Mus musculus: one gene and its partners. The protein of the gene in region 4 purifies or fractionates together with the protein of the main gene of each other region. This does not show direct contact. Links are inferred from orthologs where the notes say so. Each region holds a gene or a part of one and is shown on either strand. Other genes may lie near its edges. The genes, in order: Psmc1, Kpna6, Stat3 and Ptpn2.

The links.
Region 1: the proteins of Ptpn2 (region 4) and Psmc1 purify together in Homo sapiens (affinity purification with mass spectrometry; 4 studies listed by BioGRID and IntAct, with this or other methods). This does not show direct contact. The link is inferred for Mus musculus from reciprocal best matches to the Homo sapiens genes PTPN2 and PSMC1.
Region 2: the proteins of Ptpn2 (region 4) and Kpna6 purify together in Homo sapiens (affinity purification with mass spectrometry; 3 studies listed by BioGRID and IntAct, with this or other methods). This does not show direct contact. The link is inferred for Mus musculus from reciprocal best matches to the Homo sapiens genes PTPN2 and KPNA6.
Region 3: the proteins of Ptpn2 (region 4) and Stat3 purify together in Homo sapiens (affinity purification with western blotting; 7 studies listed by BioGRID). This does not show direct contact. The link is inferred for Mus musculus from reciprocal best matches to the Homo sapiens genes PTPN2 and STAT3.

Annotation. Positions count from the first base shown.
Region 1 is NC_000078.6:100,113,202-100,119,604, forward strand, and holds part of Psmc1 (26S proteasome regulatory subunit 4), read left to right. Parts: intron 1-1,636; coding exon 1,637-1,761; intron 1,762-2,218; coding exon 2,219-2,404; intron 2,405-2,585; coding exon 2,586-2,714; intron 2,715-3,497; coding exon 3,498-3,594; intron 3,595-5,871; coding exon 5,872-6,061; intron 6,062-6,403.
Region 2 is NC_000070.6:129,644,761-129,650,307, forward strand, and holds part of Kpna6 (importin subunit alpha-7), read right to left. Parts: intron 4,617-5,547; coding exon 4,438-4,616; intron 3,420-4,437; coding exon 3,232-3,419; 3' UTR 1-3,231. UniProt on the Homo sapiens protein: Functions in nuclear protein import as an adapter protein for nuclear receptor KPNB1. Binds specifically and directly to substrates containing either a simple or bipartite NLS motif.
Region 3 is NC_000077.6:100,899,974-100,906,376, forward strand, and holds part of Stat3 (signal transducer and activator of transcription 3), read right to left. Parts: intron 5,956-6,403; coding exon 5,860-5,955; intron 5,702-5,859; coding exon 5,620-5,701; intron 5,326-5,619; coding exon 5,231-5,325; intron 5,086-5,230; coding exon 4,934-5,085; intron 3,790-4,933; coding exon 3,631-3,789; intron 3,542-3,630; coding exon 3,449-3,541; intron 2,824-3,448; coding exon 2,764-2,823; intron 1-2,763. UniProt on the Homo sapiens protein: Signal transducer and transcription activator that mediates cellular responses to interleukins, KITLG/SCF, LEP and other growth factors. Once activated, recruits coactivators, such as NCOA1 or MED1, to the promoter region of the target gene.
Region 4 is NC_000084.6:67,676,122-67,679,621, forward strand, and holds part of Ptpn2 (tyrosine-protein phosphatase non-receptor type 2), read right to left. Parts: intron 1,742-3,500; coding exon 1,589-1,741; intron 1-1,588. UniProt on the Homo sapiens protein: Non-receptor type tyrosine-specific phosphatase that dephosphorylates receptor protein tyrosine kinases including INSR, EGFR, CSF1R, PDGFR.

The DNA of each region.
Region 1 (6,403 bases), on a different chromosome or scaffold from region 4:
GCTCTGCATGTAGCATGGAGTACAAGGGGAGGCAGGGAGTACTGCGGAGACTGAATGAAGCTAGCTCTGGTTATATATAACCCCTTTCCACTTGCTAACTCCGGTGGAGCCCTCTTCTGGGTTGGCATAGAAGTTACATGAGTTTGTCTCATGCTAACCATGAGCCATGAGCCATGGTGCATGCCTGTAATCCCAGCACTCAATCCACTGAGTTCCAGCCAGCCAGGGCTGCACAGAGAGACCTTTCTTAAGAAAGGAAGAAAGAAAGAAAGAAAGAAAGAAAGAAAGAAAGAAAGAAAGAAAGAAAGAAAGAAAGAAAGAAAGAAAGAAAGAAAGAAAGAAGAGAGAGAGAGAGAGAGAGAGAAAGAAAGAAAGAGGGCTGGTGAGATGGCTCAGTGGGTAAGAGCACCCGACTGCTTTTCCGAAGGTCAGGAGTTCAAATCCCAGCAACCACATGGTGGCTCACAACCATCCGTAACAAGATCTGACTCCCTCTTCTGGAGTGTCTGAAGACAGCTACAGTGTACTTACATATAATAAATAAATAAATCTTTAAAAAAAAGAAAGAAAGAAAGAGAGAGAGAGAGAAAGAGAGAAAGAGGGGGAGGGGAGGGAGGGAGAAAGACATCCTATTCACACAGAGAGACCTTTCGAAAGAAAGAAAGAAAGAAAGAAAGAAAGAAAGAAAGAGAGGAAGAGAGAAAGAGGGGGAGGGAGGGAGGGAGAAAGACATCCTATTCACTGTCCCTAAGTAGTTAACCCCGCTGAGGTATTAACATGTAAGTCATTTATTGCTTTTTATTTTTGTCATTATTTTACGGCAGGCACACACATGCTTCGGTGTGCATGTACAGGTCAGAGGACAACTTTTGGGAGTTGGTTCTCTCCTGTCACTGTTCTGAGGATGGAACTTAGATCGAGGCTCGCACAGCGAGTCCCTTACTCTCAGAACCTCTATCCTGATGGCCCTGTTTGTTGTGAGGCAGGGTCTCGGTTTTGCGGTCCAGGCTTCCCTGGGTTAGTGATGCTTCTCTTGCACCAGCACCCCGAGTGCAGGGATTAATGCACCACAGTGGAAATAGCGTGTAAACTACTGATGCAGTCTCAGAGACACTTTCATGCTGTAAAGGGAAGTATCGCTGTATTAACATCTGGGTATGTCTGGACCGAAGTTTATTTTTTATTTTTATTTAAGAATTACTTTATGTATAGGAATGTTTTGCCTGCAAAGCGGGTGGTTTTGAGCAGCCATGTGGGTACTAAGAACTGAACTCAAGTCCTCTGGAAGAGCAGCTAGTGCTCATAACTGCTAAGCCATCTCTTCAGCCGCTTTATCACAGTTATTTCCTTTGTGTGTATGTGGGGTGGGGCCCATGCGCGCTCCTGCACTCAGATACAGTTGTGAGTATGTGGAGGTCAAAGCACAACTTGCAGGACTCAATTCTGTCCTTCCACCACCACGGGGAACCGAGGGATAGAACTCAGCTCTTGTTGGCAGCAAGCTCTTCAACCACTGAGCCATCCTGCCAACCCTGAACTTAAAGTTTTTTAATGGCTTTCTGGTGAACATATATAAATTTTTTTTTTTTTTAGTTTTTAAGTTCCAAATGTCTAAAGCCTTATTTTTTAATTACAGTAACACCTCACACCCAGTGCCGCCTGAAATTACTGAAGCTAGAGAGAATAAAAGACTATCTTCTCATGGAGGAGGAATTCATTAGAAACCAGGAACAGATGAAACCATTAGAAGAAAAGCAAGAGGTGAGTGGAGAAGGTTCTATAGTCTTCTTTACTGAGTGAGTTCTGTTAAGAACAAAAACTGTGATAAGTGAGAGTCATGGGTGTCAACTGTGACACTTCTGACTGGCCAGCTTTTAAAGCCAGGGAGAGGGCGCAGCAGGTAAAAGTACTGACTACACTCTGGCAACCAAGTATGGAAAGGTAAAAAATCCAGATGAGGTGCACATCTGTCATCCTGGCACCCTACAGCAAGACGAGAGTCAGAGACCTGACAACCACCCAGAAGTTCTCTGGATAGCCAGGAGTACACACACACAGCAAGTTATTCTCTGGTCTCTGCACGCTCAGATGCACATCCACAGAAAGTGAGTGAATGAGAAAAGAAAACATTTGCTGCCTTGTCATTCCAGGCAGATACTCTGTAAATGCATCATCTGCCTTACGGGCTCATCTGCTTTTTCTTCTTGGCTATTATTAGGAGGAAAGATCAAAAGTGGATGATCTCAGGGGGACCCCCATGTCTGTAGGAACCTTGGAAGAGATCATTGATGATAATCACGCCATTGTGTCCACATCTGTGGGCTCAGAACACTACGTCAGCATCCTGTCGTTTGTAGACAAGGATCTGCTGGAACCAGGCTGCTCCGTCCTGCTCAACCACAAGGTGAGCCACTGGCCTATAAGGAAGCCCGGTAGGAGTATGTTCTTGGTGTTAGACCTGGCTGCTCGGGCTGGAAGGGGACCACCAAAGCACTCACAGAAATGGGGGAAAGAAACTGGAATTGCTTGCCCTAGACAAATTGACAAGAACTCCCGGTCACACATTAAGACTTGGTCCTTTGTAGGTGCATGCTGTGATAGGGGTGCTAATGGATGACACGGATCCCCTGGTCACAGTGATGAAGGTGGAAAAGGCCCCCCAGGAGACCTACGCAGATATTGGGGGACTGGACAACCAGATCCAAGAAATTAAGGTATGGTGGGGACCGGGTCTGGGTTTCCAGAGTTTTGGTTTCTTATAGTTGTCCTGTTTGGATGCTTTGGAGTTGACTTCCATGTTTGTTTTTCTTTATTGAGCAATTCTAGCTATGGATCTTTATGTGCTCAGTACTTTGAGGAACTGGAACCACACTAAATTGTGTGCCGGTCCTGTAGTCTTTTCACACTTTGCATATTTAATGCTGACTCAGTAGTAGGTGGAAATGTGACCTTCCCCGCTGTGCTGACTTGTGCTGTTGCGTACTTACTCAGCACACATGTGTTAGGGCCTAGGCCAGGTTCCCTGTTCCTGAGTGATGGAGCCTGTGGCTGTGTGCCCACCCTGTCTCTCACCCATAGGGAAGTCAGAACTGCCAAAGGTCTCCTCTGCTGACCTCTCAGCTGGAACTCGGCACAGAGCGTAGAATCCCTAGTGACAGTAGGACCAGCTGGCAGGAAGCCTGTCCAGGTCCTCTTTCTAGTCTACTCCAAACAGAGCAAGTGTTAGCTTCCTTCAGTTTTATTTTGCTCCAGAGTAGCTTAAGTGTTGCTCAAGGCTGACTTCTGGAAAGGAAAGGGAAAGCTGGGCGTGGCTTAGGAAGGGAGTTGCTATGAAAACTCAGTGAGACACCTGCCCTCTTCAGCGTGTCCCACCCCAGTAGAGGTTCAGAACAGTGAGCTTTCTGTTTATCTGTGTGGAAAACAGCATATTTTCATATCAGGCAATGCTAACAACCCCAGTTAAACTTTCCTTTTCACCAAGGCTTTCTTCTCTGTAGGAGTCTGTGGAGCTCCCGCTTACCCATCCTGAGTATTACGAGGAGATGGGGATAAAGCCCCCTAAGGGGGTCATTCTCTACGGTCCGCCAGGAACAGGTACGCCGTGCTGAACATTGTAGGCACTCCACTCCTGTCTCCAGCAGCTTTGGCAAGATAGAAGGTGCCACAGTCGCTTAGCTCAACTCTGGAGCTGGGCTGGGGAGGGAGAGGTAGAACACACTGCTTAGCAGGCACACAGCCATGGGCTGGGTCCAGCAAACCCACACCATCCCCATACACACACAAAGCAAGATCTCAGCCTTGGCTGACCGAGTACAGTGACATCACCTTGAGAGCTCTATATAGTGCTGCGGCTTGTCCCAGCCTCAGAGGCACACATGCGCTCATCTGCAGCACGGCTAAGCCTCAGTCCAGTGTGGAGATGGCGTTCAGTTATTCTGAGGTGTTGGACCAGGTCCGTTTACTGTGCAGTAGTACTAAGTAAATACTGTGGGATGATGATAAGGACACATTTAACATTACAGTACAACGGTTGTCCTAAGCTGCAGAGGCCAGTGCTTGGCAGTTGATGACCCTGCAGATCAGAACAGGCGTGGTCATTTGCTTCAGAGAGCTGATGCTGAGTTCCTCCGACTTATTTTGAGAGCTATTAAGAGACTGAGAAGTAGCTTCCCTGAGGAACCTGGAGCTAGAAGCCACTCTGCTTTACCTCAGTGGAGATTAAAGCCTGGAGAGGCTGGTGATGAGCCCAGGGCCACAGAGCTCTTGGCGTTGAGCTGGTAATGCCTGGAGCTGCAGCACTGTCCTGCCCCACCAGTGTGCATCTCATGAGGTGTGGGCACTGCAGTGCCGGGTGGACGGGCCTGTCAGAGTGGGAGGCTTGTTCAGTGATTCCCTGTGGCACTTGAGGTAACCCAGCTGCTTTCCTTGGCTCCCAGACACTAAGGTCTCATTGTCCTAAAAGGCCCGACCCCGTCTTTACATCCCGAGTTGGTCTCCCAGGAATACTGTTACCTTCTGAGGCTTTCTACCTGCTGTTTGCTGCTGTGTCACAAAGCTTAGCCCTCTGCCATTCCCTAGCTCTCCCTCTGCATCCTGAGCTAACACCAGGCCCTCATTCACTTTTAAAGGGGCGAAGGTCTTAACAACTCTAAAATCCTTGAGCTGAGTACTCTTTGGTGACTGGCCTATGTTAAAGGCTGGTCTCTGGAGGTGGGACGGGCATCAGTGTTGTTCAGAGCTCCCAAGCTGAATTCACTGTACGTGGTTTGTGTGTGTGTGTGCGCGTGCACGCGTCCAAGAAAAATACCAGTGGTAGAGCAGTGTTAGAAACACTACTTGAAGGGCTGGAGAGATGGCTCAGTGGTTAAGAGCACTACCTGGTCTTCCAAAGGTCCTGAGTTCAAATCCCAGCAACCACATGGTGGCTCACAGCCATCTGTAATGGGATCTGTTGCCTTTTCTAATCTGGGTTGGATAAGTCAGATTAATTTTTGTATTTGTTCGTTCCTTCATTAGTTTTGATACAGGTCCTCATGAAGGCCACTCTGGCTTTGAAGTCACCGTCTAGCTCAGGATGCCCTTCAACTTCTAATCCTCCTACCTCCACTTTCCAAATGCTGGATTCTACATGTGTAGCCCCATGTCTGGTTGCATTAAGTTAATTTAATATGCAACTTAGAATGGACCCAAGAAAGCTCCCTTTCAGAAAAAACAGGTCATTGTATTGCTAGTGCAGAGTGGTTCTTTCTATAGGTAAATATGGCGACTGGTTCTCCTAATGCTGTGACCCTTTAATATAGGTGGACCCCTCATCATAAAGTTATTTTTATTGCTACTTCATAACTGTAGTTTTGCTACTGTTATGAATTGTCATGTAAGTATCTGGGATGCAGAATATCTGATATGCGACTCCCAGATGGGTCTCGACTGCTGCTTTGGATGATACTTTGGGCTCAGGGTGTGAAAATAACCAGGTAGGGCTCACAAAATGTCTCAGTGATAATGGTGTCCGTCACAAGCCTGGCAACCTGAGTTTGATCTTCAGACCCCAATGAAGGTGGAGGAAGGGAGGTGCTTCTGCCAGGTTGTCTTCTGTCCTCCACAGGTGCTCCGCGGCTCATGCCCCCATTAAATAGGCACAAAACAAATATATATTATGATTTTTATGAGAAAAAAATAGCCAGGTAAAGGTATTGCTGACATCATCATGATGACTTTTAGAAGAGCTCAGAGTATGTTGTTAGGTTGGGAGAGCAGAGGAGCAGATAGCTGCGGTGTGTTGTCATTGTTAGTGTCCATCCACTGGGATGGGGCGCTCCTAACAGCAGTTACATGGTTTTCTTCTTATCGTATTCTTTTTACCCAAAATAGGTAAAACTCTATTGGCCAAAGCAGTAGCGAACCAGACTTCAGCCACTTTCTTGCGAGTGGTTGGCTCAGAGCTTATCCAGAAGTACCTAGGTGACGGGCCCAAACTTGTCCGGGAGCTCTTCCGGGTCGCTGAGGAGCATGCGCCGTCCATCGTGTTCATTGATGAGATCGACGCCATTGGGACCAAAAGGTAGACTCACCCTGAACTGTCGTGGAGATAAACAGTATTGGCCCTCCCTGTGCAGCAAGCCCTTGCTGGGCATGGCCCTCTGGATACTTCACTCTGCCCTCCAAGGGGCCTTAAACACCTACCCAGGCAGTGTGTGGAACCCAGTTGTGTCCGAGCTTGCATGGAGCCAGTACCATGCAGACGCTGCAGACTCACTGTACTCATGGTAGTCTTTGCCCTGCAGCTAAAAGGTTGAACCAAACAGGGAGACAAAAAATGGGCCTTTAGGCAGAGTTGCTGTGCAGCGATGTGGTTCAAAAGTGTGTCTGTCTGTCTGTCCCGCTGAAAACGAAACAGCACAAT
Region 2 (5,547 bases), on a different chromosome or scaffold from region 4:
AAAACAAGTTTTCACTCAGATTTGTTGGCGTTGACCTTAGCTTCTTCCCTTGCTGTGCATCCTGGGGTGGGACTAGGGGATAGACTGGGAGATTGAGTCAGCTATGAAGGCCTTTGGCCAAAGAGCAGCTAGTATCTACCACATGGATCCTTACAGGGGCAAATTCTCAGTTTGTTGGCTTAACAAAAGAATACAAAAGATAAAACAAAAAAAAAATATACTGGACAAAACTGGTCTAGAATGTGCCAGGAAGCCTGTCTCTTACCACCTCTCAGGGAAGTGCGGCTTGAAGCTGCCACTGCTCAGAATCTATAGTTCAGTGCACCTAGCCTTGCACACTTCCCCAGCCTGCTAGGGAAGCTTGTCACTAACTATCCTGTCTCCGTCCTGGATCTGCAGGGACCTGGAGAAGTTTGGGTTTTTTTCCTTTGAGAAGTTAGAATCTAAGCCTGAAAAATACCCAAGAGGATGGATACCAAAATGAGTGAGCCTGGAAGAGAAGAGCTGGGGTCTGAATAAAGAGTGCAGAGGCCTCCAGGACGTGTAGAACTGTGAGCTGCTAGCTCTGCAGGCAGACAGAAACACACTTCCTCTGTGTGGGAAGTGTGTCTTTGTACCGGCTTGGTTTCAAAGAAAGAAACTCCACGCAGAAGCACCGTCTTTTCCTCTCCCTCAGCTAAAATCCCACTGCAGCTCTAGCCCACAGTTAGCTTCAGAACATAGGCTACTGGGGATGACTCCCAGGGGCAGCAGAAAGGGGAAGTGGTAGATACAAGGTCCCGGGTAAAGGGGACACCAAAAGGTCTTCCAAACCAGGCTACCAATACCTGCTCCTCGGAAGCACTTGTGTGCACAGACCCAGGTAACAACGGTACCAAGCAAGCTGGAACTCATACAGTAATACCAAAAGGCTACAACCAACATCCAGGGCCATGATCACTGGGGAGGGCTGGAAACTGAAGTCAGTCGGCCAGGAGCCGACTGTGAGGGACACCTAGAGTAGAGCAGCTAGATAGATAACCAACCTCTTCCATGTGGCACAGGATCTGCTCTGAAGCCAGAGATAATGGAAAACGGGCAGAGGAAAGCAGGACATTTGTGTCTCATGCTGAGGATCTGGCTCCAGGGCCAGGGTCCTAACTGTCACTTGAGAGGTTCAGGGGTCTACTCTTCAGATAAGGACGATGATGGCTTCATAGAGGACTTTTCTTTGAACTAGGAGCAGTTTCAGTCAGGTTAAAAACAAAAGGGCCAGCACCTTGCCTTCCCGGAAGGCACTCGCCAGCGTGGTCCAATGTTGGTTGAACTTTTCAGTATTAACTGCCTGCCCTGAAGAGGAATCTGGAGCAGGAACTCAAAACTAAAGGAGAGACGGCAGACGGAAAGGCAGAGGCCAGCAGCAAGAACCTCAACTTCAGATCTGCAAATGTGGGGCACAGAGAGATCTGCTGGAACAGGAGGAACAGTGCTGTTCTAGAGAGCGGCTAAGGGTGTGGGGGATCACCACAGCAGGGCACTGTGCTGCCACCTCCACAGGTGGTCTGCCCAGCTGACACTGTACCCAGCTCCCAGAGCTTGGTTTTAGTGTACTGTGTAACCCCTGAAAACAGGTCAGCCTCTGAGGTACTGAACTGTCTTTATTCAAGAAGGAGGGAGGGAGAGAGGGAGGGGGAGAGAGAGGGAGGGAAGAGAGGAGGAGGGGGGAGAGAGGTGGGAGGGGGAAAGAGGGAGAAAGGGAAATGCAAGCTAGGTACAAGGATCTTTAGAAGGGAGATGCCAACAGGGTTCATTGTGGGTAACAGTGAGTTAGAGAAGGCAGGATGCTTTTTGCTTGGGAGCAAGGAACAGAGAGAGCAGCAGACTCCATCAGGCCTTGCTCCCTTCAGGCTGGGAACAATCAGACCCAGCTGATTTACTTCATAAAGGTTCCAGAAGTGAGAGTTGGTCCCAAGTGGTGGCCCAGAATACAAGCAGAGAAAATAAGGACTGAGTTCAGCCCTGTGAGCAGAAACTTGTTCGTCTTTCTGGTCTTCCTCACAGTATCCCACTCACATCCAGTTTGTCCTCCTAAAACCAATTAAGACTGACCTACTTAAAATACAGACTATTAAAAAAACAACAGAACTTTTTGCCATTCTCTCCTTTGGAAGTGAAATATACATGATCCAGCTATGGCAGAAGGAAGAAGAAAGGCCAAAGGCAGGGATTCATGACTATCCCGATACACGACACTAACTCCAACCTCCTCTGCAACTTAGGGGTCATCAGAGCAAGGACTTTCTCCTCAGGAGAAGGAAGGACCACAGCCCCCCATCTCAAGCTCAGGAGAAAACACAGCCACCTCAGAGGTTCATTCAACTCTGAGGTGAATTTTCAAGTAAACAAATGAAGTTGGGTCGCACCATTTAGGAGGTGGGTAGGAAACAGGGTCAGTAGCTACACAGGAGAAGCCCTGTCTAAAGGCCTGTGCCCCTCCCTTCCACTCCACTGGTATACTTGCTCCAGGAGAGTGAGGGGGATCCTCCCAAACTAAAGAGGTCTTAGGCATAGGGTTAGAGGGAGGGAGGGATCTTTGTCTCATGGGGGCCTCCCCATTAGCCTCTATTTCCAGACGATGCTGGTGGCTGGGTTACTAAATCCAGCTTTTTGGGAAGAACAACCTTAATACAAGAAAAATGTGCAAAAGAAAAAATTAAATAATCCAAGCATACAAGATTAATATGGGTCAGAGCAAGAACACTTTGTTTGGGACTTCTCCCCTCCCCTCCCACCTCCCACCTCTGGAATATTCCATCTGCTCAAGTACCCAAGAGTTACACACGTCAGGGCAGAGGACTGGGATGGATGAAGAAAGATAATTGGGAAGGAAGTCACCACTAAAGAAAATAAAAGAAAAAAATTTTAAAGGTGCAAATTGATTACCTCAGTCCTCCTTTGTCTACCCCTGGGCTCCTGGGTTAAAGACATGTGCAGCCAAAATAGTGTAAGGAAGAGAAACCCACACGTCCCCTTCTTGTCTCAAAACCCAATGTGAGCCTCAGATGGTTCTGTCTGTCCAGAGGGCGCTTGCTCCCTCCAGGGAAGGGGATGAACAGGTCGAGAGCACAGTCTCGGGGCAGCAGGTGTGCGGGGCTGCTGGTGGGGTGGCTGCTCTCCTGCCCACCAGAAGGCTGCTCCTCTCTCTGCTGGCTGCTGGTGCTTCCCGTGCCCTCCCCTCCCCGGAGGCAGACATTATAGCTGGAAGCCCTCCATGGGGGCCTCAGGCTGCTGGAAGATGAACTGCTGTTGCGTCTCATCCACCTGAGGAGCCAGGCTGCTGTCGTCATCCTCTACACCAAAGTAGTGCTCAATGAGGTCAAAGGCCTTCTGGTAGATTTCCTGGTTCTCGTGGCTCTGGAGAAACTCAATTTTATCCAAGCCTACGGTGTAAGAAGAAAACAGGTCTGTACCTCTCCTTTCCTGAAGTACAAGTTCCCAACCAAAAGCAGTGGGAACATATCCACCCCTGGCTTGTGTAAAGTGCTTGCCCTGAAAACCTGAGTTCACTCCCCAGGATGCAAGGCCAGGAATGGTGGCCGGGGCCTGTAACCCTAGCAGGGGTTGTGGGAAGAGGATACAGTCGGGACAAACCAGCTGGGGTTTGTTTTCTGGTTGGCTTGTTAACCTAGATTACTCTGAGGAGTGATAGCTCAGACTGACCTCTGGTCTGCACACACATATACAATGTGATTGACTAGAGGGTTGAGACCAAATTCTGTTGCAAGCTAACTCTGAGCTAATCATGGTGAGCTAGTTAACATCTAATTAACATCTGAGCTAATCATCTGAGATGGGTTGGTTAAGGCAATCAGGGTTTTCCAGGAGAGACTGTTGGAATGCAGCTTCTAGCTCCTGGTAGTAGAACCAAATTTTACCCTGTTCCTCCTTGCATACATTTGAGGTAGGTGGTGTCTATGAGAACAGCACTGACCTATGGCTCCTCAGAGGGAGGAGGAGATGGTGGGACAGGGAAACTTGATAGTGATAATAACCATTACTTCTATCTACCCAGCTGGTCAGTACGAGTCAGCTACTCCCAAGGGAAAGTCTGAAACCCTGTGCTTGGACTAGCTTGGCTGCAACAGGAACTCATCACTGGTTTTAGAAGCAGAGACTCAAGGGCTGGTGAGATGACTCAGCAGGTTAAGGTGATTTCTGCCAAGTCTGACAACCTGGGTTCAATCCTAGGAACCAACATGGTGAAGGGAGAGAACTGACTTCTTCAGGTTGTCCTCTGACCTTCATCCCACATGTGCCATATCATGTACACCCACACTCATACATGCATATGCACACAAATGAATGGATAAATGTATTCCCAAGTTTCACAGAACAATTGAATGTGCTCCAACATCTTCCCCATTAACAGACATAGGTGAGGTCAGGGAGAGGACCTACCATAGGCTTCCTCGATGAGGCCACAGTAGGGATTGACCCCTGAGCCACTACGCTTGCTTTCTTGCTCTCCAAGCCGAAGAATGTTCTCTAGTCCATTGAGGGCCACTTGCACAATTTTTGAATCCATTACAGTCAGCAAGTCACACAGGGGCTTAATGCAGCCCAGTGATACCAGGTACCTGGGGACCAGAGAGGACATGCGCGCTACATGAATGCAGAACACATAAAGTGCACCAGGTGCTTTGACCTGTGCGTCTCCCTCACACACCAATTTTCCCAACAAGGCACTCTTCCTGTTGCCCACCTAAGCCACCTTCTTAACTCTGCACTGACCTATTCCCTAATGAACACGGAGTCCTATTGTCCCCTTGGCTACAACGTTATTACCCTACACACGTTAAGAAGTTCCTCAGGTTCCTATTTGTCCTGAGTACAACTTGTACAGTATGGAGGTACAGACTGTCTGTCATCTGGACCCTTCCTCTGTAGCTCTACTCAGAATATTCCATACTGAGGTTATTAAATTGTGCTCAAAGATCTTCAGATTTCTGACTCCTGGACCTTTATATATTTTTATCTAAAAAGGCCTACATATAATGCTGTATTTACTCCTCCTCCCTACTCTGGCACCCTTTTAAACATGATTTCTCTTTGTAGCCCTAGCTTGCTTGGGATTCACTACATGGTTGGCTGACTTTGTTCTCAGACTGCAGTGGTACACACGCCATCATGTTCATCTTATGTTTTCTTTCTAATGTTTAAGTCAATAGCTCTTCCTTTCTCCTGAGACATCAGTATGTACAGACTTTATTCCCTTTCGTAGGTTATAATAAGGGGAAAGACGCATCCAACTTGCGTGGTTCCTCCTAATGTTCAGATGATGAACACCAGAATAAAGGGGCATAAATACAAACTGGAGGCTGAGACATGTTGTCAGCCCCCGAGAGGCTAAAGCAAGAGGACCACAAACTCAAAGAGAGCTTAGTATACACAGAGAGCCCTAATCTCATCAAAACAAAACACAAACAAAAATCCCCAAGACATGCCGGGCGTGGGTGCGCACGCCTTTAATCCCAGCACTTGGGAGGCAGAGGCAGGCAGATTTCTGAG
Region 3 (6,403 bases), on a different chromosome or scaffold from region 4:
CCTGCAATACTGAGCTGCACACACTCAAACTTTTCTTTTCAATGCTTCAGGCAAACCGGGCAGGGTTTGCAAGGGTTTTGAACACAGCTGTTCACAAAAAGAAGATCCCTGAATGGAGACATCTCTAAAGTCAAATGTCTGTCCAAGTTCTTGCTTCTCCATCCCTCATTTGAAAACAAGAGTTAGGCTTAAGAATACGGATTGGTAGCCTACAGAACGGGATTTTTCTTTTAAACCAACTACATATCCAATAGAGGACAAATGCCCGAAAAGAATTTTAAGAAAATAAATATCAAGAAAATACAGACCAGTTAGAAATGGGGTACAGATCTAAACAGAAAATTCTTAATAGAGGAAACCCAAGTGGCTGAGAAACAGAGAAATGTCCAACATCCTTAGGATCAGGGAATGCAAATCAAACTGCTGTGAGAGTCTATCATATGCCTAACAGGATAGTTAAGATCAACACAAGTGACAGCTCATGCTGTCGAGGATGTGGAGTAAGGGCCACCATCACATATTGCTGGTGGGAATGCAAGCTCATGCAGCAACTATGGAAATCAGTATGGCCGCTCCTCAGGAAGACGGGAATCCATCTACCTCAAGATCCAGTTAGACCACTCTTGGGCACATACCCAAAGGATGCTTCATCCTACCACAGACACTTGCTCAACCACGTTCACTGCTGTTCTCTCCATACTAACCAGAAGCTGGAAACAACCTAGATGTCCCTCAACAGAAGAATGAATAAAGAAAATGTGGTACATTTACATACGGAGTATTACTCAGCCATTAAAAAAAAAAAAAAGAAACTTGCAGGCAAATAGATGGAACTAGGAAAAAAAAAATCTTCCTGAGTGAGGTAACCTAGACCCAGAAAGACAAATGTGGTGTGTACTCACTTATGTATGGATATTAGCCATTAAGTCAATGATAACCAAGCTGCAATCCTTAAGAACCACAGAGGGTGAATACAGACTAAGGAACTACAGAGAACAAATAGATCTAATTAGGAAAAAAGAAATAGAAGGGGTTCTGGATAGATGAGGGATTCTGGATAGATGAGGGATTCTGGATAGATGAGGGATTCTGGATAGACGAGGTCTGAACTTGGAGGAGCAAATGGGGAAGCCGAGGGGAGAGGAGAGCTGGTGGTGGGAGGGAACAATGGGAGACGGCAACACTTATGGAGCATCCGTGGAGTAGTATCGACATCTCGTACAGTAGGAACCTCCTAAAACATTCACATATGTGAAGGTGATCTAGATTCAATCGCCAAGTAATGGGGGAGAGTTGGGGTCCCAACTGGCGATCTCTTGCCACCAAATAAAGCTTCCAGTACTGGGTTAGGGTTAAGTCTAATTGAATTGTTGGCCAAAGGGAATCCTCAAACAATCCACGCTGTTATCAAGACCATCGGTTGCTTTCCACAACTGACAGCAAGGCCCCACTGTTGAGGATAACACCTACACAACTCACTGAACATGGGCACGTGAAGCTGGTGCCTCCATAGAGCCCCCCACTGTATGCCAGAGTCTTTGTTATAGGAAGGTACTCTGCATGCTATCAAAAGAGAAGTGTGAACAGCAAGCCAGCCTCAAACCTCTATCTGTAATAGTGTACTGCCTGCAGGATATGCTAGGGCAATGGTGGCACAAACCTGTGGAAGTAACCAACCAACAAGAGTCTTAAGGCTCACTATACAAGATGAAACTCATACCCAACAAGGCTTGGGTGGCCAAGAACCAGAGACTAGATAGCCCAAGGACCTAGGGAAAAACTAAATAATACTGATCTAAAAAAGAGAAAGGAAAAAAAAACAATAAAATGACTCCAGGTGACATTCTGCTAGACTCAGATATCAGTGCCTTGCTCAGCCATCATCAGAGAAGAGTCCTCCTGTCCAAAGATGGGAAGAAATATAGAGACCCACAGCCAGACATCATGCAGAGAAAGACCTTGAAACACTCATTCCCTAAATGGGATGTCTCCAGCAAATCCCTCCCCTCAGAGCTCAGGGAATACCAAGGAAGAAGCAGCAGAAAAAACATTAAGAACCAGAGGGGTTAGAGGTCACCAAAACCACAAGGCCCTCTGAATCACCACGAGCAAAGCTCATATGAACTCGCAGAGACTGGAGCAGCATGCCCTGGGCCTGCAGGGGCCTGCACCAGGGCCTCTGTGCTAATATTGTGGCTTCCCATGTAGTGTTCTCATGGGATTCCCAGGGTGCAAACGAGTGGGACTCCGACTCCTGTGCCTTCTCTTGGGTTCTTTTCCTCCTGTTGGTTTGTCTCGTCCAACTTGGATGTCATAGCCTTTGTTTTGCTTTGTTATATTTTATTTTGTTACATTAAAAAAAATGAATGAATGAATGAATGAATGTAAACCCACCACTAGGGTGAAAGATTAGCAATGGAGCTGCTGGGAGCAGCACTGGCTTTGTCAACCACTCAGTGCGGGTCTCGTGAGCAGGACAGTTGACCAACAAATAGTTTGTTGTGCATGCTCTTATTTAATCACAATTTTAGTCCCATCTTTTTTCTTTTTGGGTGTTGTATTTTGTTCTCAGTCTTTTGGGGATTTTGTTGTATTGGGGTTTTGGTTGTTTAGTTTTTTTGAGAAACTTGGGTGAGTACAGGAGGAGGAGATCTGAATGTACTTGGGAGAAGGGAAGAATATGAGCAAAGCATGAATTTAACAGTTGCTTTTAAATAATAAAAATTATACACTTACACACACACACACATAAAGAATACTTACTTATCAATGCACACTTTAATTTTAAGCTGATAATTCAACTCAGGAAATTTGACCAGCAACCTATTAAAAAATATAGTCAAGGAAAGTTAGTAGGCTCCCTACCTTGATCTCGTTAAAATATAAACCCCCTAATACTTCAATTCCTAAGATGTAAAAATATTGCTGAGCATGGTGGTGCATGCCTTTAATCCCAGCACTTGGGAGGCAAAGGGAGGTGAATCTCTGGGTTCAAGCCAGCCTAGTTTACAGAGAGTGTTCCAGGCCAGCCAGGGCTACAAAGACCTGTCTAGATGAAAAATACACACACACACACACACACACACACACACACACGCACGCACGCATATATATATATATATATATATATATTATTTTTACAAACCCAAATTCTACTTCCGCAGAGTCATCTCTGACATTAAAAGTGAACACTAACCCTTCAGCTAGAAAGTACTGAGATGCCTAAGCATGTGAAGCAAGTTGTAAGAGACTTCTCACGGGAAGGCAATAAAAAGCATTCAATGAGAAATACTGCACGTGTTCTGAGCCAGGTGAGGAGTGGGCTTCATCTCTCACCCAATGGGGCCCCTCAGCTATGGCACCACAGAACCTTCCTTCCCTTAAAATCCTCAGGGAAGAGGACTGGACATCAATCAAAACTCCACCCAAAGTGTAAGGACAGGCCCACCTGACTTTCGTGGTAAACTGGACACCAGTCTTGATGACTAAGGGCCGGTCCGGGTGCATGGGCATGCAGGGCTGCCGCTCCACCACGAAGGCACTGGAAGGGAAAAGGATGGCATCTCAGACGCTGTGGTGACCAGTCTTCTGCCGGTTCCTCCCTTCGGAACGTCATCTCTTACAAGTTACCTCTTCATTAAGTTTCTGAACAGCTCCACGATCCTCTCCTCCAGCATGGGCCGGTGCTGCACGATAGGGTCGCCCTTGTAGGACACTTTCTGCTGCAGCTCCTCCAGTTTCTTAATTTGTTGGCGGGTCTGAAGTTGAGATTCTGCTAATGAAGTTATCCTGCCATAATGGAAGGAAGTTCCAGTCACCTCTGTCCCCTAGTGGTGACCCCAGCACTCAGGAGACTGAAGCAAAGGGACCCTGAGGCATCCATCCCACCACAACAAAGGAAGGAAGGAAGGAAGGAAGGGAGGAAGGAGACGGACAACTCGATTTCTAGCTTCACATGTATAGTTATGACATCACATGTATAGTCATGAAATCACATGTTTAATCACGACAGATGCCTACAAAATGACTATCACAAAGTCTGGTGACTTGCTGGTACTACTCAAAGACTAGATTTTCATTTTTTTTATTTCATTTTATTAGTTTTATATATATTCAGTTATTTCCCCCCTTTGCAAATAACATATATTGTTTTAGATTATTAAAATAACTAAAATGGAGAATTTAGTGTTAAATACAACTGAAAGTATTATTTAAATATCTTAAATTAGTGATCTAAGCTTTATTAATTTATTCTTTTTAATTAAAAATTTGTTGGTTGGGCAATGGTGGTGCATGTCTTTAATCTCAGTACTTGGGAAGCAGAGGCAGGCAGACCTCTATGAGTTTGAGCCAGTGTAGTCTACAGAGCAAGTTCAAGGACAGCTAAGGCTAAATAGAGAAACTCTGTCTCAGAAAAAAACAAAAAAGTTAAAATTAGGTAATGGTTTTAATTCTTGGACTAAACTTGACTGTGTAAAAAAGGCCACCTTAAGGCAGGCAGAGTGATGCATGCCTATAATCCCAGATAATTCCATTTGGGAAGATGAAGCAGGAGGATTGCAAATTCAAGGTCAGCCTGGGCTATAGAGTAGGTATGAGGGCCAGCCTGGGCTATGGAGTGGGTATGAGGGCCAGCCTGGGCTATGGAGTGGGTATGAGGGCCAGCCTATGCAGCTCAGTGAGATTCTTTCTCAAAGAAAAAAAAAGGTGCCATCTTAGCAATAGTGTCCAGCACTAGGAGTGTAGTCCAGTGGCTCTGGCACACTTGTCTACCACACATCCACCCCAGCATGAAAAAGCAAAAGCAAAAGCAAAAGCAAAAGCATGGCGAGGGAGCAGCATGCCCCGCCTCCGCCCCGCTCCGCCCCGCCCCCCCCCCCCCCCCTTGCAGGCCCGTGACTAAAGAAAAAGAAGCCTTTCTTCCAACTCTTACCAGTTTTCCAGACGGTCCAGGCAGATGTTGGGAGGGCCTCCGATGCACGCGATCTGCTGCCGCCTCTTCCAGTCAGCCAGCTCTTCATCAGTCAGTGTCTTCTGCACGTACTCCATTGCTGACAAGAGCCCCGCCAGCTCACTCACAATGCTCTGTTTGGAAACCAAAACCAAGTCAGAACACATTACCCCAGCCCATGTCTAACCGCAGTCTCTAGTCAGTTCTAGAGAAAGAAGCCATCAGAAACTGTCTTCCACGCTAGGCGTGCGATGCTCAGGAAGCATCCAGATCGCTTACTCTCCGCATCTGGTCCAGGGCTGTGAGCATCTGTTCCAGCTGCTGCATCTTCTGTCTGGTCACAGACTGGTTGTTTCCATTCAGATCCTGCATGTCTAAGGGAAGGAGGAAAGACTCCTTGAGCAGAGGGACTCACCACAGCCTTCTTAACAAGGCTCTACACCATCTGTGCGCCTGCAGTCCCGGCTACTCAGAGAGCTGAAGTAAGATGGTTGTAGGCTCACGGTCAGCCAGAGCTACATGGTCAAATCCCATCTCAAAAACAAACAATGCAAAAATTGTCCCGTGAAGGGCCAGCAGCTCCTCCTCCTACCATGGAAGGCAGGCCCTGAGACTCAGTGACACGGCGTAGCCTTGCACAGACTGCCCCGTCCCCACAGCTCGCTTGCCTCCTTGGCTCTTGAGGGTTTTGTAGTTGAAATCAAAGTCGTCCTGGAGGTTCTCCACCACCTTCATTTTCTGTTCTAGATCCTGTTTAAACAAACAAACCAACCAAAAACAGAAGTAAAACACAGGTTACCTTTGGGAAAAAGGGAAAAGAAAGTTTTGAAGATAATGAAAGCGTGCACGCAGGACCACACTCTGCAGCCGCACAGCACAGCGCGGCTCCCTGGGTGAGGCCCGATTACCTGCACTCGCTTCCGGACATCCTGAAGATGCTGCTCCAACATCTGCTGCTTCTCTGTCACTACGGCGGCTGTTGGGTGGTTGGCCTGGCCCCCTTGCTGCCAATAAATAAATAAATAATAAATAACTAAGATTAGCACACACATGGATTTGTGGAACCCTCTCGTCTGAGCTCCATCCCATCCAAAGGGGAGGGTGCTGGGAGGGTGCTTGCACTGTTCTCTCTGTGCCACTGGCTTTTTATCAACAGGAAACACTGCAAACCCATTCTCCACATTAAACCAGGAGCCCACATGTTGAACTAAGATGCCTCATCCTTCAAGCAGCCTAAAGGTAAACTGTCAAAAAAAAAAAAAAAAATCTAGAAAGAGCTGGGGTACAGCTCAGTACTGGAGATCCTGCCTAAATGAGTGAAGCCCAGGCTTGATCCCAGTGCTCAGAGAATATTAATAAATAAATTAAGAACTGATGACAACAAAGTGTAACATATTTCCATGAAAAAACATTTCCCAAGGACTTTTAAAATTGTGCTTCCAAGGCTTCTGC
Region 4 (3,500 bases):
TGTAGCTGTCCTCAGACACATCAGAAGAGGCCATCAGATCTCATTACGGATGGTTGTGAGCCACAATGTGATTACTGTGATTTGAACTCAAGACCTTAGGAAGAGCAGTCAATGCTCTTAACTGCTGAGCCATCTCTCTAGCCCCCTAAAAGATATATTCTATTTTAAAGCAGATATTTATAAATAGATAGTCAAAGAGTAGTGGATTAAGATTGTTGGTTTCGATCTAGGTATGTCTTTATTATGCAGACGATGCAGGGAAGGATATACTGTTATTTCTCTTTCTACCTTACACTTTTCCTTATCACATGAAACTAAGTTCTGATACTCTTTGAGCTTACGGTCTATAAATATACAATAAAAACCACCTGAGAGCTGGGTGTGGTGGCGCACGCCTTTAATCCCAGCACTGGGGAGGCAGAGGCAGGTGAATTTCTGAGTTCAGGCCAGCCTGGTCTACAGAGTGAGTTCCAGGTCAGCCAGGGCTACACAGAGAAACCCTGTCTCAAAAAACCAAAAAAAAAAAAAAGACACCACCTGAGAATGTCACCATCAGACATGTAAAGTTTGTAAAGTTTACTCCTAGCACTTTATGTCTGTAGTAAGAACTGAAGTTATTCAGCTATAAAGTACCTATATAGAAATAGTCTTTACTCCCACATGAAGGGTTTAAAATTTTTATTTCCACCTTTTTTTTCCCCCCCGAGACAGGGTTTCTCTGTATAGCCTTGGTTGTCCTGGAACTCACTTTGTAGACCAGGCTGGCCTCGAACTCAGAAATCCGCCTGCCTCTGCCTCCCAAGTGCTGGGATTAAAGGCGTGCACCACCACACCCGGCTATTTCCTTCATTTTTAGTTCTGTGTGTGTGCATTTAGGTATGTGCATATGACTGTAAGTGCCATGAGAGGCCAGAGATGCTGGATCCCCTGGAGCTGCCCGACATGAGTTCTTAAAAACACACTTGGGTGCTCTGGAAGAGCAGTAAGTGCTTGTAACCTGTGACCACTTAGCCATCTCCTCAGGCCTCTACAGTAAGTTTTTACTAAGATAAAAGTACTTATGTTTTCTGGGTTTTTTTTTCTTTCAATAATTAAATGCTGAAATCTTCTCATATGAAAAAAATTATTTTAATTGAATCTTGTTTCCACTGAGGAAACAAGTATATATGTATATATGTGTCTTATATACATATAAAAAAAAAAATTGGGGGCTGGAGAGATGGCTCAGTGGTTAAGAGCACCGACTGCTCTTCCAAAGGTCCTGAGTTCAAATCCCAGCAACCACATGGTGGCTCACAACCATTAGTAATGAGATCTGACGCCCTCTTCTGGTGCATCTGAAGACAACTACAGTGTACTTAGATATAATAATAAATAAATCTTGAAGAAAAAAAAAAATTAAGTCAGGATCTCACTGTATAGACCAGGCTGGTCTTGAACTCTTGGTGACTAGCTTTCATCTTTGCCTCTTGAACTGTGGAAAGTTTTATGAATTCTAGACAGTCAGCTGGATCTACCAAATGAAGTAGGGGAAGGCTGAGGATTTAGATGGAACATGGTTATTTGACACTAATGATACTGAGTTTACCTGTATATTTGAATCTCCTTTTGTGTACTTTGCTCCTTCTATTATGGCCATGTAGGAGAATCTGAGTTGGTCCGGTGTCTGAATAAGTCCCATTCGATACTTTCTCATATTCAGTAATAATTGTTTCACATTAACATCCTCTCCTTTTTCCATCTGCAAGAAAGGTAAAACCAAGTTGTTTGAGTTGAAAAAAAAAAAAAGCAATATAAGGCCACTCACTGCTCAGACCTTAGCTGTGAACAGGTTCCTTCTTAAAAGAAGGATAATTTAACACACACACATGGGGGGGGGGGTGAGAAATATGCACACAGACACCCAGATATGATTAGGATTATTTATATAGTTTTAAAAAATGGTTTTGTCAGAGATAAAGTTTGCTGCTCAGTGCCCTTCCCCATCTCAAATCTGGACAAAGACATGCTTTGTGGATGTACAGCAGACACTTAAAAGATGGCAGGAAATAGGAAAGCCTTGACCTACAAAATTACCTCTGAGCTCTGGACTACTGATCTGGTTTTAGAAACAAACCATAAACTGAAGAGAAGGAAGGATGAGCAAGGCACAGTTGGTAGAGAGCAGGTATGAACATCCAATGCAGTTTGAAACTCATGAACCCTTAAATGCTAGGCAAACACTCTGCCAAAGACCGCCGGTTCTCATAACCCAGTTTTAATATTGATCATTAACAGAATCTACTGCCTTTAAGCAAAAGGTTAATTTTATTAGTAAATGAGTTTTTTGTTTTTTAAAGATTTGTGAGTGCATGTGTATGTGTGCATGCCAAGTGTGTAGAGATGCACACAGCGGCCAGAAGACAGCATGTGATCCCTGGAGCTGGAGAGGGCTGTGAGTCACCCACTGTGGGTGCTAGAACCGAACATTAGTTTTCTAAAGAGCAGCAACTGTCCTTCATCACTGAGCCACCTCTCAGCTCTAACAATTCAAGTTTTGATTGAAACTATAACTTGTCTAGGCAAAATGTTAAAGTAGCCCATTAGGGTTTGTTTAAGCATAATAATTTATTTATTTTTTTAAAGATTTATTTATTGCCAGGCATGGTGGCACATGCCTTTAATCCCAGCACTTAGGGGGCAGAGGCAGGCAGATTTCTGAGTTCAAGGCCAGCCTGGTCTACAAAGTGAGTTCCAGGATAGCCAGGGCTACACAGAGAAACTCTGTCTCGAAAAACCAAAAAAAAAAAAAAAAAAAAAAAAAAAATTATTTATTTAATGTATGTGAGCACACTGTAGCTGTACAGATGGTTATGAAACATCATGTGGTTGCTGGGAATTGAATTCAGAACCTCTGCTCGCTCCGTCCCAAAGATTTATTTTTTATTATATCTAATAACAACAACAACAACAATAATAATAACAATAAAGTAGCTGTCTTCAGATACACCAGAAGAGGGCATCAGATCTCATTATGGCTGGTTGTGAGCCACCATGTGGTTTCTGGGATTTAAACTCAGGACCTTCGAAAGAGCAGTCAGTGCTCTTACCCGCTGAGCCACCTCTCCAGCCCATAACCCATTTATTTTAATTTACATTCTGACACGCGGCTGGTTACCTGTGTTCAGGTACCCCACATCCATCTCTTCACATCTTCCTGGGCAAATCCTCCCGTGCCTGGCTCTATCCCAGAACTCTTTCTGCCTCCCCGATGTCCCACCTCCTACTTCCTGCCTAAGCCATAGGCTTTTTAATTGATGGGTGGTGTATCCATAAAATATACAAGACATTCTCTCTACAGATAATCTCACAGTGGGCTGGGCTGTCCTGTATCAATTAGTTCCCTACAAATAACACCAATCTGATCTTAAAAAGTCTTTCTTTAATTGAGGCACTCCTCTCAGATGACTCTGGGCTGTGTCAAGTTGTTAGCTGACGTTAACCAGGACAGAAAATATCAT